Caenorhabditis elegans: one gene and its partner. The protein of the gene in region 1 purifies or fractionates together with the protein of each later gene. This does not show direct contact. Each region holds a gene or a part of one and is shown on either strand. Other genes may lie near its edges.

Region 1 (7,374 bases):
TCTTTCTCATTGCCTATCTTTTGCTCATTGTCTACTCGTTTTCTACATCAGTCAAGAGGCACGTACAAGGACCGTATTTCAAGAATACATCAAAGGCACATATACTCAATTTGTTCATTTCTTCAAAGGGTATACATATTTACAATCTTTCAATCTGTACACAACGTTTCGGGCAACAATTAGTAGTAGCTGAGTCATGTTTTAATTTATATTAATTTTGATAGGACACGAAAAGGCTGCCGTAGTATCAGACGTGTCAGACAAGGATGCACTGGAGTTGATGGTGGCTTTCGATCTAAAAATGAAATAACCTTCAAAACTCTCTGAACTGAGTATTTTCAAACTGGCGTATCTCAAAAAATACACATCTGGAAAACAAATGACCAACTAACAAAATGATCAGAAATATAGTAAAGGGTCTTTTGAGACCCAATTAACATATAGTACTACGTATTTACTTTTTATGCAATGCAGCGCTTTCATAAAAATAATTGTTGACTGACTTTTTACAAACAATCGTTATTTTATATTAACTTTATTTGTCTCAAAATTAACAAACTTTCAAATTTTTAAGAATTGTTGGGAACACTTAATCGATGTAACCTCCCCATGCTAAGTACAGAAATTTTATGTTTAGCAGCGAGAGCAACTGCAGAAGAAGCCGGTTCAATTTGTGGAATAGGAATGGTTACTCTTGTAAAGATACGCAAGATTTCCCGGCGATAGGGTCGGATATGGTAAAGTGAAATAATAGATGATAAAAGTGGGATTGGAGCAGGAATTGCACATATCAGACATTCAAAAATTGGGTGGGTAATCAGCCGGATTGCTTGGATAAAAAAGCAGAATACTCCGCCAACAAATAAAACTGGAAGACAAGCTTGCAGCGTCAATGCTCTCAACAGTTGCTTGTGGATGGATTTTGTTTCAGAACGTAAATTCTCGGTGTTTTTCCCGAGACGGCAAAGAATTTTCCTTCGAAATACAAGGATTGCAGTGTAAATCGCAAAAACTGGAACTGTCATGTTTAGGATTGAAAATGTAGCAGCTGGAGATAATGCATCGGATATTCCCGTAACAGTTGAAATTTCAAATGTATAATCTGGGAACTTTGATTTCAACATTCCAAAAATCAAATAAGGATCCGCGGCGGTGAACATTAGCACAATGAACTGAGTGAATGATGGAATGTATATAAAAACACTGAACATGAATACTTTCCACGTAGATGGGGGAGCAGATGAGAGTATATAGTTACGATATGCAAATGATAAGAGTAGTGACCACATTGAATGTATGAATAAATGAAGAAGTGCACTCCAGGATGCGTAACATAAAAATGGATGTCCAAAGTGACAAAGCCCATAAAATATATGGGCCATGGCATAGTCGAGTGGTATGATTCTGAAAATTTATTCACTTGGCTTTAAGGGGTTTCTAGATTTTCTTGAAATTTTCAAAAAAAAAAATATTTAAACTAATTCAAAGTTTAAGTTTGCAAAGTTATCCCGGTTTAGGGCACAGACTTCGGATTTTCTCTTATCCGGACGTTCTGCCCGCTGTCAAAACCGGACGGTTTTCGGAAAAAACTAGTTCTCTCGATTTGCCACCCTTGTCGAGATTTATGTTTTTCTGCATGAAGTTGTAAAAAACTAGGTCTTACCTTGGTGCACAGAACATCATTAGAAATGAGGAAAACATATCCGTGAGTGCAAAGTTGATGATTAGAATTCGGTAGGTTTTGATTTGAGACGGAGATCGGAATATTGCTAAAAGCAAAAGAAGACCATTCAGGACTATTCCGAATGCTCCAAGGATGGCATAGTAAATCATCAGAACGATAACTTCAATCATCCTGAAAATGTTCAATGTTTAGTGTGAACCTTGTTAGAATGAAACAAAAGACGTAAACAAAGAAAAAAGGAAACGAAATGGATAAATGCAGTAGCGTGAGACGAAAAACAACGTGTTTGGCACATTGTACCCTTCATTCTTTAATTTGAACTTTGTTCCCAAAATTTTGCGAAACAAAATTTCAACTCACGTGGTCGCCCGTGGTCAAGCGTGTATCAGAAATGGTCATTCTTCTGACGATGTATCAGAAATGGTCATTCTTCTGACAATTGGCAACCGACTTGTCTCCGAGAGAACTGCAAATCACTCAGCAATCTGGACACATCAAATTGCTGAACAATTCCGGGAGACGTATTGTGTTTGGAGTGAGCACGGCGCTTAAAAAAGCAACAAGTACTCCGACAGGAGTTCTGGATCCAAATGAAGCGGCTCTTTTCACAGTGAAGTGTGATGGAAAGGATGTAAGTGGGGAAAGGCATGAGCGCAAGGGTGGTTGAGTTTTCGGCAATTAGAAGATTTGCCAAAAAAGGAGAATTGTAGTATAAAACTTTAACTTTCTATACATTTCGGAGCGTAGAAATGTATTCCGTTGAAAAATTTTAATTTTTCAAATTAAAACTGCCCAAAACTCAAAAAAGAAAATTGTCGAAATTGCCGAAAATTCAAAACCCGGCAATATGGGCCTACGTGGAAATATCTCCCACTTTTTATCGATCAAGAAGGAAGTTGATGTTTTAAATTTTAAATTTCAAAATTTATTTTAAAATCGTTGTGAAACGTATGACTATGCAAGCTTACCCGATTGATAAAAAGTTGGAAGCAATTACACGTAGCCGCAATGTTTCATTTATTAAAATTTTCAAAATTTTCAGCAAAACGACCGTATCACTATCATCTACACAAATCCTCCAGATGGAACCGACAAGCAGTATCGATCCGAATACTTTCTCCGTGAAGACGCTCTGATCGTCAGAAAGAATCTCTCGACACGCTTTGAGAAGATTACAGCTGTACTTGCAAAATTCGAAAAGGCTAATTAGTTTGTAAATGATATTTTTGCTTAAAAATAAAGTCTGTGTCTTGATTCCGAAACAAAAATGAAAAGAATGACAATGTTTGCAATTCTTTTGGAATTTTTTCGTCAGCGGATTGTGCAGCAGCACGTGGTGATCGTGAGAATGCTTGATCACTTTTAGCTGTGGTCAAGAATGTGTAAACTGGGAACATCGAACACATACTAGAATTTAGTCGACTATGAAATCAAGAGAATATATTTAGATTTTTTTCAAAGATTAAAAAAGGTTTAAAAAAACTTTTTTTTTTCAAGATTTTATGAATCACTTTTCAATCATACTCGGAAGTTAGTCATGTTTTTGTCCCGTTGCGTTTTTGAAAAACTGGAATCTGGAAAACTTAGATTATTGGAGGAAAAGTTACACAAGAGGGTATTTTTTCGAATAATCAAAATATGACAATATATAATAAAAGTTGAAATTTTTGGAAATTTTTGGAAATGTCAAAGTTTCGGTTAATTTGAACAAACATTATGTTTAGAAGTTAAAACATTTTTTTTTTAATTTCAAAAACAAACATGAAAAAAGGTTGAATTCCGGCATTAATGAATTCTCTAGTTTTTGGCATTTTTGCATTTTACCTTATATTAATTGGTTTTTGTTTATGTTATCTTTGATTTTTGATTTGAAAAACATAAATTGACAAGGTTTTATAATTTTTTCCGCAAAAAAAGATCAAATTAATAAATAAATTAACATAGTCAGAAAATGCAATAATTTTAAAACCCCTAGGTTATTCATTTGCACGAGAGTTCTAAATTGATTCAGTCTTTTTATTTATCGCAAAATTGAAAATAAAATTAGAAAAATGCTATACATTAGGGTGATACGGTTAGATTTGGTACAATGATTCTGTCATTTAGGGCAAAAAATCCATAGGTGCTACTCCACCTTCATATTCCCAAAATTCAATAATTATTCAACCTTTTCCAAATATCTCTACCTCGATCATGTAATAAGATAAATCGTAATGATTACGCAAATCCAAATACAAACATTAAAGGAGACGCACGCATATTCTGTCATTCATTAGATAATTTGGAGAGAGGCGAAAAGATATTTGAACAAATAATAAATGAATGTGTCAAAAGTTGAACGGGCACATTTTGATATTCAACGTTTTCCAAATCAGTGAATTATGAGCTTTATCAGTGCGACTAAATTCGTAATATTTTTTGCTGCTTCAATAAATGCACAAAAAGTTGAACAAGATCATTCGGTTCGTTTTTTTAAAATTTTATTGTGTTCACAGGAAATTTTCAGGTAGTAAATAGAGTTTCAAATATTGCGGAAAAATACAGTAATTGGGCTCTAGGAAAATCAGATTATCGAAATGGAAATTTGAATAATTTTCAAGTCACTCAAGTTCAAAGTCCTCCAAGAAACTACAATACAGGTGAGGGTTTCAGATAACTTTTGTAACTATTTTAAAACTCACTAGTTTGTAGTCAAATCTAGTAGCTTGCCTTTTTTTAACTTTTTAGAGATTGAATAGTGTTTTTAACTCAACACTTTTGCTTTTGAAGTTTAGTTATAAACTAGGCAAGACCTAGTTTAAGCTTTGCCCAAATTTAAATGTTGAACAAACTTCTCTCGTGTGGTTTTAAACTTGCCAAAATATTGCTCAACTCTTTCTTACCTGTTGCCTAAGCTTTGCCTAAGTTTGGCCACCTGTTGAACTAGCTAATATTTTTTTGACAAAACTTGGCCAAGAATCTAAATATTGGAAAATACCTAGCAGTTGTAGGAGATTATTTTTAAAAAATTTTCTGATTTATCACATCAGTTTCAAAAACTATACCTATTTTGAATTTCAGCTCCAGTAAAACGATTTTTTCATCAAGTCCGAATCCAGCCGCCTCTTATCATCAAACCTGTAACTTATTCGGAAACATCTTATCAACCAATTGACATCTACTCAACTACACAAACTCCAATCCTGACAACTCCACCATATCCTTCTCGGATTTCTCATTTTCCAACTGAAAATCGTCAAATCTTCCGATCTCCAGTACGACAACATTACCAGCCATCTCCAAATTTTCCAAGACTTTTGGAAACTGAAGTACCAGTTTCTCAGTCATCTCCGATGTTTACTTCAAATTCTTCATTACTCCCACCACATATGTCTCAAAACTTTGGCTCTTCAATATTAACACAACTTCTTAACCCAATTCTACAAGAACCTAATATTCCAACAGCGCCTCCAAATTTACAAATATCACCTCAAATGCACATTAATCCAAATTTCCCGACATTAGTTCCATTACCAATTCCTCAACCGGTAGTTCTTGAACCGACTAAAGAAGAAGTGATGAAAATTGCATCGAAGAAGAATCTATACGGAATGCCAAGATTTCCAATCGAACCTCACCGTGGATTTTTTCAGGTTTGATATATATTTATTAAAACTTCAAACATCTAAAACCGTTAGGCATCAATGAGCTGCATGGATGGCTGGTGTGGAAATGAATGCTGTGAACCGAGGAGACCATTTGCAGCACCTACCACTACGATCCAAGCAAGCGTGCTACCAGGTACAGTAGAAGGGGTAAAAAAATAATAAATTTTTTTTTTCAGGCTCACCAAGCCCACCGCATCCCCTGGTTTTAGTTGTACATCCCGCACCACAGGCACAATGCTCTCCGGCCTGCCAACCTCATTGTAGTCAGCAATGTGTTGCTAGACTTCAATATATGCATGAGTCACAGTTCTACAACCACATTTTGGAGCCAAGTTGCCGTCCAGATTGGTATGATTTTTTATGTAACTGAAAATTTCTTCCATATAGGCGCCAAAATGCGTGCCTTGCAGATCTTCTGCTAAAACACATATTTAAGAACTTTTTTCATCTCGTTATTTGACTTTCATTAAATTGATTGCTATCAGAAAGTTAGTACTTTAGTAAATTTAGTAAATTTTTAAGTAAATTTATGTCAAATTGAAGGAAAAAGGTCGGCAGGTCTCAGGCAGGTAAATAAAGGCATTTAGCTCAGCCAACCTCCTAAATTCGTACAATCCCATAAAATTTTTTTCGAATTTTCAAAACGTCTAAATATAAAATTCGAAAAAAATTTAATTGAATATTTTCATTTAATCAATAATTTATGTTCCAGTATGCCATCCTGCCACGTCGATTGCCTCATAATTCCTCCACAGCAAGTCCGATGCAATAGCTTCAATTGTCAGTGTTTGGCTGGCTACGTGCAATGTGCCGCATTTACTTGTTGCATGAGATACCCGGTGAGAATATCCGTTTGGGAAAATCCAAACAACATGTATTTTCCTTCCAGAATCTGGCTGCAAGAATGAAATCCAACGTGATGGCAAAGTCATCTGAAGAAGAGGTGAGATGGAGGAAAGAGTGTAGTGCCAAAATTGAATATTTTTAGGCAAACGTTAGCGAGGAGGGGAAACAAGATAATGAGATCAGCTATCGAAGAATGTATACGCCTAATAGAATGAGGGCTGGAAAGGGGAAATACGGTTGGGAATATCAAGGGGACATCATCTCGAATCAATTGTTTTCAGACATTGAGAATGTGACATCACCACCAGTTATTAGACCTTCTTATTGGACAAAACATCGAGTGAAGTCAACGAAAGAACCAAAAACTACAATATTCACAACAACTCCAGTGCCATGCCCCACGACCACATCTACGACAACAAGTGCAACTACACTAGTTCCAACCACATCTAGTTCTACAACTACTACAACAACTACTACACCAGTACCCGTTACATCTACAACAACTGAACCTACTACGACAACATATACAACTTCAACTAGTACTAGCACCACAACTACACTTCCACCGACAACATCCACCCCAAAAATTGTGGTTAACCTAACTCCTATCTATCCGGATATGTTAATGAAAGCAAACAAAGTTCCAATGATACCAGCCTACGGAATTTGGACAATTCCGCCCCATGTACCACCCTCTTCAAAAGAATTTGATAACCCATTGAGTGGAATAAAAACCTCGCCAACTGAAAAGCGGAATTCTATTGGTGATATTCGCGGGAGACATGTTATCCGGTCTGAAAACTTTTTGGATGTTCTCAGTGAGCTGGCGCAGGTTTGAAATTCACTTCATGTATCTATCCTACATACAATTTTTAGGTGAAGCTTAAAGAGGATATAACGGATGACTTTTCACATGCAGCAAATTTCATCGATTTTATGACGGACAGATTTAGCAAAATTTAGGAAAATTTTATAGCTGGATATTGAACTATTGGACTGAATTTATGTATTTGTACAAATAAAATATTTCTGAAAATCCGAGAGATTTTATCATGAACATTTTCACATTCTAATGTTCTAGAAAATGGAGTGCGGGATTTTTTTTCACCATTTTTTTGGTTTCTTCACTGATAAAATCAAAAGAATTGTTGTTGTTGTTGTTGTATCTGATCTTAGAAACTTTAAAAAAAAGTA
Region 2 (7,374 bases), on another chromosome or scaffold:
TCATATTCTTCTGCCAGAATTTCAATCATTCTATCATATTCGTCAAATAAAGAAGCTCTTTCTAAAAATGATTCTTCCGATGTTTCTCCATCTGATCCTTGCTCAGATTCGTAAGCAGATTCGGATTCCCGCTGGACAACCGCAACTTTCCTCAGTGGTCTCTGGTGAAGCATGGCTTCATGATCTACTTCTGAAAAATTAAAATGTTAGTTGTATATAAGCCACTTAGCCATATTTGTGTCTTGAGAAATATATGTACTTTCTGAAATAAAACTTAATTTTGGTCAAACATTTCATTAAGTTGCTCAGAATCTGCATCAAATTGCAGCCGATAGTTATGTGACTATCTGCATATTTCGGCTTTGATTCAGTCTTTGAGCAAGTTCTCAAAATTTTAAAGTTAGAGTAATGTTAATTTCAAAAGTCCAAACTTTTTTCTGCCTTTACATATAAACTTTAAATATGAAACTTTGGGACAACAACGAGAAAAAGACATGTTTCAAGTTTAATTTTTGTCTCGTGAGTGAATTGGAGTTAAGGTCAGTGGGAGTACTGTAGGGGCACTAATATAAAGCTTACCGAGATTTCCATATTCTTTTGGAGGATCTACATTCTCAACTTCATCAGATTTAGAAATAGTTGGTACAGCTGTGCGCTTCGATTTCTTAGCTAATATAAGGTCAATCTCGTCAGCAGATTCATCATGGACACTGGATTTTTTCAATGGTTTCTGGTAAGTTGTAGATAGCGGCTTTGGAGTAAGCCAATCTTCTCCTGAAAATTAGATAGTAATACTAATAAGATCAAATAGAATAGGCTTACCTAGAATTCGTGAAAGGAAATCAGTTATTGATTCGCTTTCAATTACAGTTTCCTGCTCATCGTGTGATTCTGAACCAGTCGATGCAGATTGCTCTTTTTCAGTTTCAAATGAAAATCCATTTTCTGGTCTTTCTGGAAGTCCTTCGAATGATCCTCCTTTGACACCTCCAAATGGCCCACCAACTTTCTTCACTGGCTCTGGCTTAATGGAATAAATGGCCATACCTGAAAAATTCAAAATAAATCTAATTTTTAATTTTTTAAACAAGTTTACTCACCGTATTTTCCATATATAAGTTTCTCGTCGTATTCGCGTGGAAGAATCTTTGCGTCTTTTGGTGAAATTGCTACAAAGCAGTCAATCAATGAATCGTACTCTTGTTTCACAAAATTTCCATCTTCATCTTTCATAATCACAATTGGTCTGTCTTTTGACATTTGTATAAACAAAATGTTCATTGGAACTTCATGATTTGGATCGTAGACAAGCTCCGGTACATGTACTTGTTCAAATTGTCCTTGTTCACAGTTATACACGTACTGCTCAATTATCTCGCTTCTTCCATTCCAGACTGCGGTAAATGTGACATGTTTCTTGAGGGATTCACTCCAAACCGAGTACTCAGGGTATAGAATGTCCTCTGGTACAGTTAAAAGTGATGGCATGAAACAGCTGAATTCTCTATCAAAATAGAATTCCTTCGGCTTCTCGTTGTTTCTTCCCGGCACCCGAACGATATATTGATCGCTTTTAAAGCAGTAGCTTGTATTGAGAATTGGAAGCCTGAGATAATGAGTGAGACTTCTACATTGACCGTACCGCTTTAGCTCCTTCATTTGAAGAGTATTCACTTTTGTATTTGGAACATCTTGATACTCTCCATTGATGAATTGTTGAGTACAAACATGACCATGTTCTGGATGACGACGAATCAAGATAGTTTCAGTTTTCGAGTCCACAATGCAAATCCGATCGCCCACTGGAGTTGGATCATAGGATACCGGTGGAACCACTGGTTCAATTTGCTCGAGACACTTCTCCTTGATATCATAGATGTAGTACTCAATCCAATTTGTCACAACATTATGAAATGGCATCACGGCTTTTTGCATCTTCGGATCCCAAAATGTTCCTTCTTGTGGAAAAAGGTTCTTCTCGGTGATTTTTGGTTGGCAGTCGAGACACTTCAGTGGCATAAACTCCTCGAGATCGTAGTCGTAGTAGTATTTGTAATAGCACTTATTTCCGTGATCCACTCCGACGTAGTCGGTCTTGCAGAAACCACAATATCCAGTGATCATTTTGAGAAATTTTGAATCAATCTGAAAATATATTTGGTATGAATCGAAATATAAAAGATAAAAAAAAACGAGGATATGGAAATGAACAACACATTTTGCTTTTTCAATTTAAAATTTGTTCAGTTTTTTGGCCGGTTTTGTGCAAATTATATTATACAGGAAGATAATCTTGGAGTAGCGAAAATTGGGTTGATGCTCTACTAAGAAAAAATATGGGTTTTTTTGACATGTGGAAATTTTGGTTTAAAACAAGGTCTGAAAAGTTTCAGCAGACTGCTCATAAGGCAATTTTTAATTTCGGAGTAAAATAATTTAGCTGACATTGAGGGCAAAAAGTAATTCCTATTTACGTAAACAGAGATAAAGACTGATAAAGGAAAAATAAAAGAATAAAACATGAGAAAGGGGCCTTCGACCAAACAATAGAAACAATTGAAGACTGAATGACTACATTTTGTGTTTCCAGATTGTTGTGCGCTCTCGGACGCTGGAAAATATTCCAATAATTAGAGACACAATAGGAAATTGAGAGACATTGATGTCTAGAGTAAATATTGATTGGTTTTTTATGGGTGGAGTCTGGAGGGAGTGCATTAACGATGTAGATGGGAAGGAATGTATTTTGATCGATCGGAAAGTTTACGATTCTTTATTTTTGGTACATCTCTATCTCTTCACGATATTCTCCTTTTACAACAGTCTACCATTTGAGACATCGCCTCCTCTTACAGCACCTGTTATAGTGTGACAATATGTAAGAAAGTCCTCTTGTCAATTGACCTAATATTCTAGACATCTAATGATCTCAAGAACATATCGAATGTAGGTTAGCCAATATCTAGTTTATTTAAATTTTAACTCCAGAACAACCAAAAAAGCTATAGAAATCGACATTTGAAGTGTAAAAATGAGGGAAAAATGGTTTAGAATAAAAAAAGAACTGTTTGCGAGACGTTGAAAACTGTGAGCTATTTGAAAATAATAAACAAAAAGCGAGCAAACTGAGCTTTTTGCTTGAGCTTGAGCTAAAAAAAAAGGTCCAGAAAAAACAAACAAACATTTTTTGAGATTTTACGATTCATACGCTAATATGATGATAGATGAGATCTTGAGAATAAATGGAAAGATCTAGTGGTATTTGATTATAATTATAAAGAGAATCTTTAGACAATTTAAAATCTACTCCTCGTCATTTTCTTCCTCATCAGCCTCTTCTTCTTCTTCTTCCGGCTCATTTGGTTGCTCCTCACTCTCGGCAACTTGCTCATCTTGAGCTTCAACTTCAGTGGAACCCTTTTCCTCAACAACGGATCCTCCATTGGCTTTCTTGAGCTCTTCCTCGTCGTACGTGTCGTCTTCAATGAGCTGATGAACTTCTTCAAAGGATGGCTTCACCTTCTTTGGTGGTGGAACTTCGATAACTGAAATTTTATGCTGATATAAAAATATATGTTGTCTGTATTTCTTGATTTTTCATTGAAAATTAGACGATTATAATTATTTTATGAGATATTATAGTAAAAATATATCAACAAAAAATTTTGTCAGAATTTTCTAAAACTCGCCAAACATATTTTTTGAGTAATATTTCAATAAAATAAATTGAAAACTAATTCGAAAACATTGGCGACGTCTTGCAAATAACAGAAGAATGTCGTATATTTTAGTTCAACATAGAAAAATTTCGGTAAAAACTGAAATCACTCAAAAACTAAACGGATGAACTTTTTGAAAATTTACCAAAAATAATTTCCAGTTTGTTCTAATAAATTTAAATGCATTCCGAGTTTGTCTGCAATTTAAATATTCAAACTATACTAACCATCATCGTCGCCTTCTTTCCCCTCAGCCTCTTCAGCGACCCGCTTTCTAGTCTCCATCGACTTTTCGGAGGAACCTTCTGAAAAAAAAATTATCAGGGTTTCAGATAAATTTTCCTCACCCTCACTGAATGGGCACTCGACTTCCGGAGATCTTGGCGGAGAATCTGGAACTTCGACGATCTCGGACATGGCTGGTTTGCAGTTGCTAAAAATGCTTGAAAATTTAGTTTAAAAAAAAATAAATTAAAAGTGAAAAGTAAAAAGCAGAGATTATAAACTCTTTAAATAAGTTTAATTTAGTTTCCCGGGGTTATTTCCCAGTTGTATAACTTTTTATAGCAGGACGAAAAAGCAGGAAATTCAAGTGAAACTAGGATACTATGAAAGGAAAGGTAGCTGGAAACGTACAGTAAAAATGGGGTTTCTATGTGTAATTGAGGATATGGAATCGTTTTGTCACAGATTTCCATATGAAAACCAGAAAATTGGGGATGAGAACACAGGAAGAAGATAAGAAAAAACATGCACAATTGAAATCAAAAGATATAGGAATTTCAATTTTTGAGAGTAGTTTGATTGAGTTTTGGGGTAAAAAACTATTGAACGCGGTTTTTGAGTGACTCGACAAGAACTTTCATTTCTCGATCCACGTCCTCATCATCATCATCAGCTTCTGAAAATTCGTCCACATCATTGCCGTTCTCGTCGCCTGAAACTTGAGAATTAAACTGAGATTTATCATTTCAATTCTCACTCTCTGATTCTTCGTCTGGTTCAAGGAAGTGCAGCTTTTTCGGCTTTTTGAAAGTAGTGTCTGGAAATATAGGGGCTTATACTTTTCTGGCGAGCTTATTTTCTTGGTAGCTAACGCGCTTCTAATCTTTTTTCGCCGTTATTTTTTGAGCGCTAAATGCCTTTTGATAGTTCCAAATTTGATTTCTGTCCTGTTTGAAGATCAAAAGCTTCAAGCTCAAAGCATCAAGGATCCCTTAGAGATCGTATAGTCGTCTGCACGTGATTATACTTATACAAATTTCTGCGACAGAAGGTTGAGAGTGTGCGAGAAAAAGCTTGCGGGGTGCTCTAGAAAGTTGAAAATGTCTGACAGAAACAACGTACCTTCCAAACCAGACAATTGTGTCCTTACATCGGAAACTTCTTCTCTAAGCTTATCAAACCGATCATTCGATTTTTTCAGCATTTCCTTTTTATCAGTTGAACTTGGAATTCGGGGTGAAGGTGGGATCACTCTGTTATACTTTTTAGGACCTTCTGTGAGACGTCTTTCTCTTCTTGGTGCGATTCCTCTTTGCGCGAGTATGAGCTCTGCGATGCTTTGCATTGAGTTGGCTGTCATTTGAGGAGCATTTGGAGCATGAGGTGCTTGCTGTGGAAAGGTTGAAGGCATCGGATGAATCGGGTACGGAAACATGCTTGCGGCACTGTTAGGCGGCTGTTGTAGTTGTGATGAGTGTAGACTGCAAACTGCATTTCCAATGCTTCGAATTTCATTGGCCATATGCTGCATTTGTCCATTTTGCATAGCTTGCTCATGCTGCAGACCTGATATTTGTCTAAGCAAGTCTGATATCGTGTGATTGAAATATTCCACTGGAACATAATGAGGTTGGGCAACACGGTGAGTCATTTGTGGGTGTGGTGGTGCGGTAAACTGTTCCTTTGGTTTTTCAAAATCGATTATCTGCTTGAACAAGTTGTCCTCCATATTACACAATTTTTGGAAAACTTTCAGCTCAATATCATCAAAATCCTCCTGTGCATCTTCATATTCGGAATTCTTTTTGTAAGTCGGGTGGTAATCCGGATGCATTTGATTGCGTAGAGTAGGTTTTCCTTAAAAATATTCATTGCGACTTTTGAAGCCAATTTCTTGCTCAAGATTTATCAGAAAATGTTCAGTTGGTTCAGAAATTGGCTACAAATATAAATATTTAGCAAATTAGTTGCATCGAAATAGTACTAAACGAATATGTTTGAAGCAGATGTTCAGATTTTTAGATTTGAAAATTAATTATTTTTACTCAAATTTTTAATAGTTCTACGGGGCTTCTATGGTAGACTGAAAAACAATTAGCTTAACCAAATTTTCTACTCTACTCTACATTGTGATCAGTTCAATTGATTACCTTTATCAGACTCAAGCCATGCGTCTGTAGGACGCACGTTGTTCTCACAATCCTCACATCTGTGATCGATCAAGTCTTTAGGAGTCACGTTCTCTGCAATTCTTTTCAGTTTTTTAAAAATTGAAACTCTTCGAAAACTCACCGAATAAAGTAAACTTGCTTGCAATCACTTTCCGGCTTTTAAAAACGTCCAAACTGGACAAGATGGTGAGAAATGTTCCAGTTCCAGGAATTGTTGGCGCAATTTTGAATGGATCAATTTTATAATTCTCATTCATCATCCAGTATATTGTGCCAAAAGTTGCGCCTTCCGTGGCAACAAGAGTTTGGTGATTTTCATTGGCTGGGCACATTTTTTCGAGGATATTCTCCTCGCAACTTTTTGATGTGTTGTACCAATTATTTGATTCTGAAATTATCGTATTTTAAAGTTATTTTGTACAGTTCATATATACCATACGTAAAGTATAAAAAAATAATTTGGTTTATTTGGAATCAATGTTCAATTTTATTGAAATGATTAAAAAGTACACCAAATACTGACTGGAATTTGTGATTTACTGGAAAATACTGCAGATAAATGTTCATATTTTTTATTATTTTTTCACAAGAACTTAACACATCTTCAAAAGACTGAAACTCGCTTTTTTTTTCAAAAACTACAGTAATCCTACAACAATCTTACATTACACCTCCGTGTCACGACAGTACCTTGATACTACCCTTGCCCCACCAACTTCCAACCCAATATCTATTAGGCTATAGAAAAAGAGAGTTGAAAGATAAAATTCGAAGTTATGAAAAATTCGCAATTCATCAAATAAACATGCAAGAACGTATTCAAAACACCAACCTGAATTTGTCAATTTTCTCTCTTCCATTGCAACTGGGCTTTGGAGTTTTAGGTCAAGTGTCTTCGGACAGTAAGTCGACAGAAAAATATTCTCATTTTTAGCTGATCGCACAATTGCAAACTTTTCCGTCGTCTCACATCTCACCGTTTCCGCATAAAGTTTCGTCTTCTTGTCATAATACTCCAATTCCAAGTTTTTATCATAAGTACAGACTGAACATTTGATAATTTCAAAGTGGAGGGTTAATTTGTTGAGAACGACTTGGTGTACACTTTCTGATTTTGTGGTTTTGCAGAAGTAGATTTTTTGGGATACATGAGGGCATATTTTGGTGTTGAGAAGAAGCAAATCCTTCTCCATAATTGCTTGAGTATTCTGAATCGGAAAATTTGGTAGAAGCGCAATGGCCTTGTTTTCGTCTTTCAG

Evidence for each region.
Region 2: the proteins of T09D3.3 (region 1) and C35E7.11 fractionate together in Caenorhabditis elegans (co-fractionation; one large-scale study listed by BioGRID). This does not show direct contact.

Annotation. Positions count from the first base shown.
Region 1 is NC_003283.11:5,346,263-5,353,636, reverse strand, and holds T09D3.3 (EB domain-containing protein), read left to right. Parts: upstream 1-4,065; coding exon 4,066-4,146; intron 4,147-4,190; coding exon 4,191-4,323; intron 4,324-4,744; coding exon 4,745-5,316; intron 5,317-5,361; coding exon 5,362-5,464; intron 5,465-5,507; coding exon 5,508-5,679; intron 5,680-6,043; coding exon 6,044-6,170; intron 6,171-6,220; coding exon 6,221-6,274; intron 6,275-6,319; coding exon 6,320-6,413; intron 6,414-6,458; coding exon 6,459-7,012; intron 7,013-7,056; coding exon 7,057-7,143; downstream 7,144-7,374. Other genes in the region: srd-9 (G_PROTEIN_RECEP_F1_2 domain-containing protein), read right to left, coding at 570-1,404, 1,664-1,854.
Region 2 is NC_003279.8:10,841,550-10,848,923, reverse strand, and holds C35E7.11 (Glutamic acid-rich protein-like), read right to left. Parts: upstream 4,153-7,374; 5' UTR 4,137-4,152; coding exon 4,067-4,136; intron 4,025-4,066; coding exon 3,947-4,024; intron 3,546-3,946; coding exon 3,304-3,545; 3' UTR 2,952-3,303; downstream 1-2,951. Other genes in the region: vet-2 (Very Early Transcript), read right to left, coding at 1-190, 580-774, 823-1,047, 1,101-2,124; C35E7.2 (Reverse transcriptase domain-containing protein), read right to left, coding at 4,544-4,656, 4,702-4,761, 5,067-5,801, 6,095-6,187, 6,237-6,503, 6,948-7,374.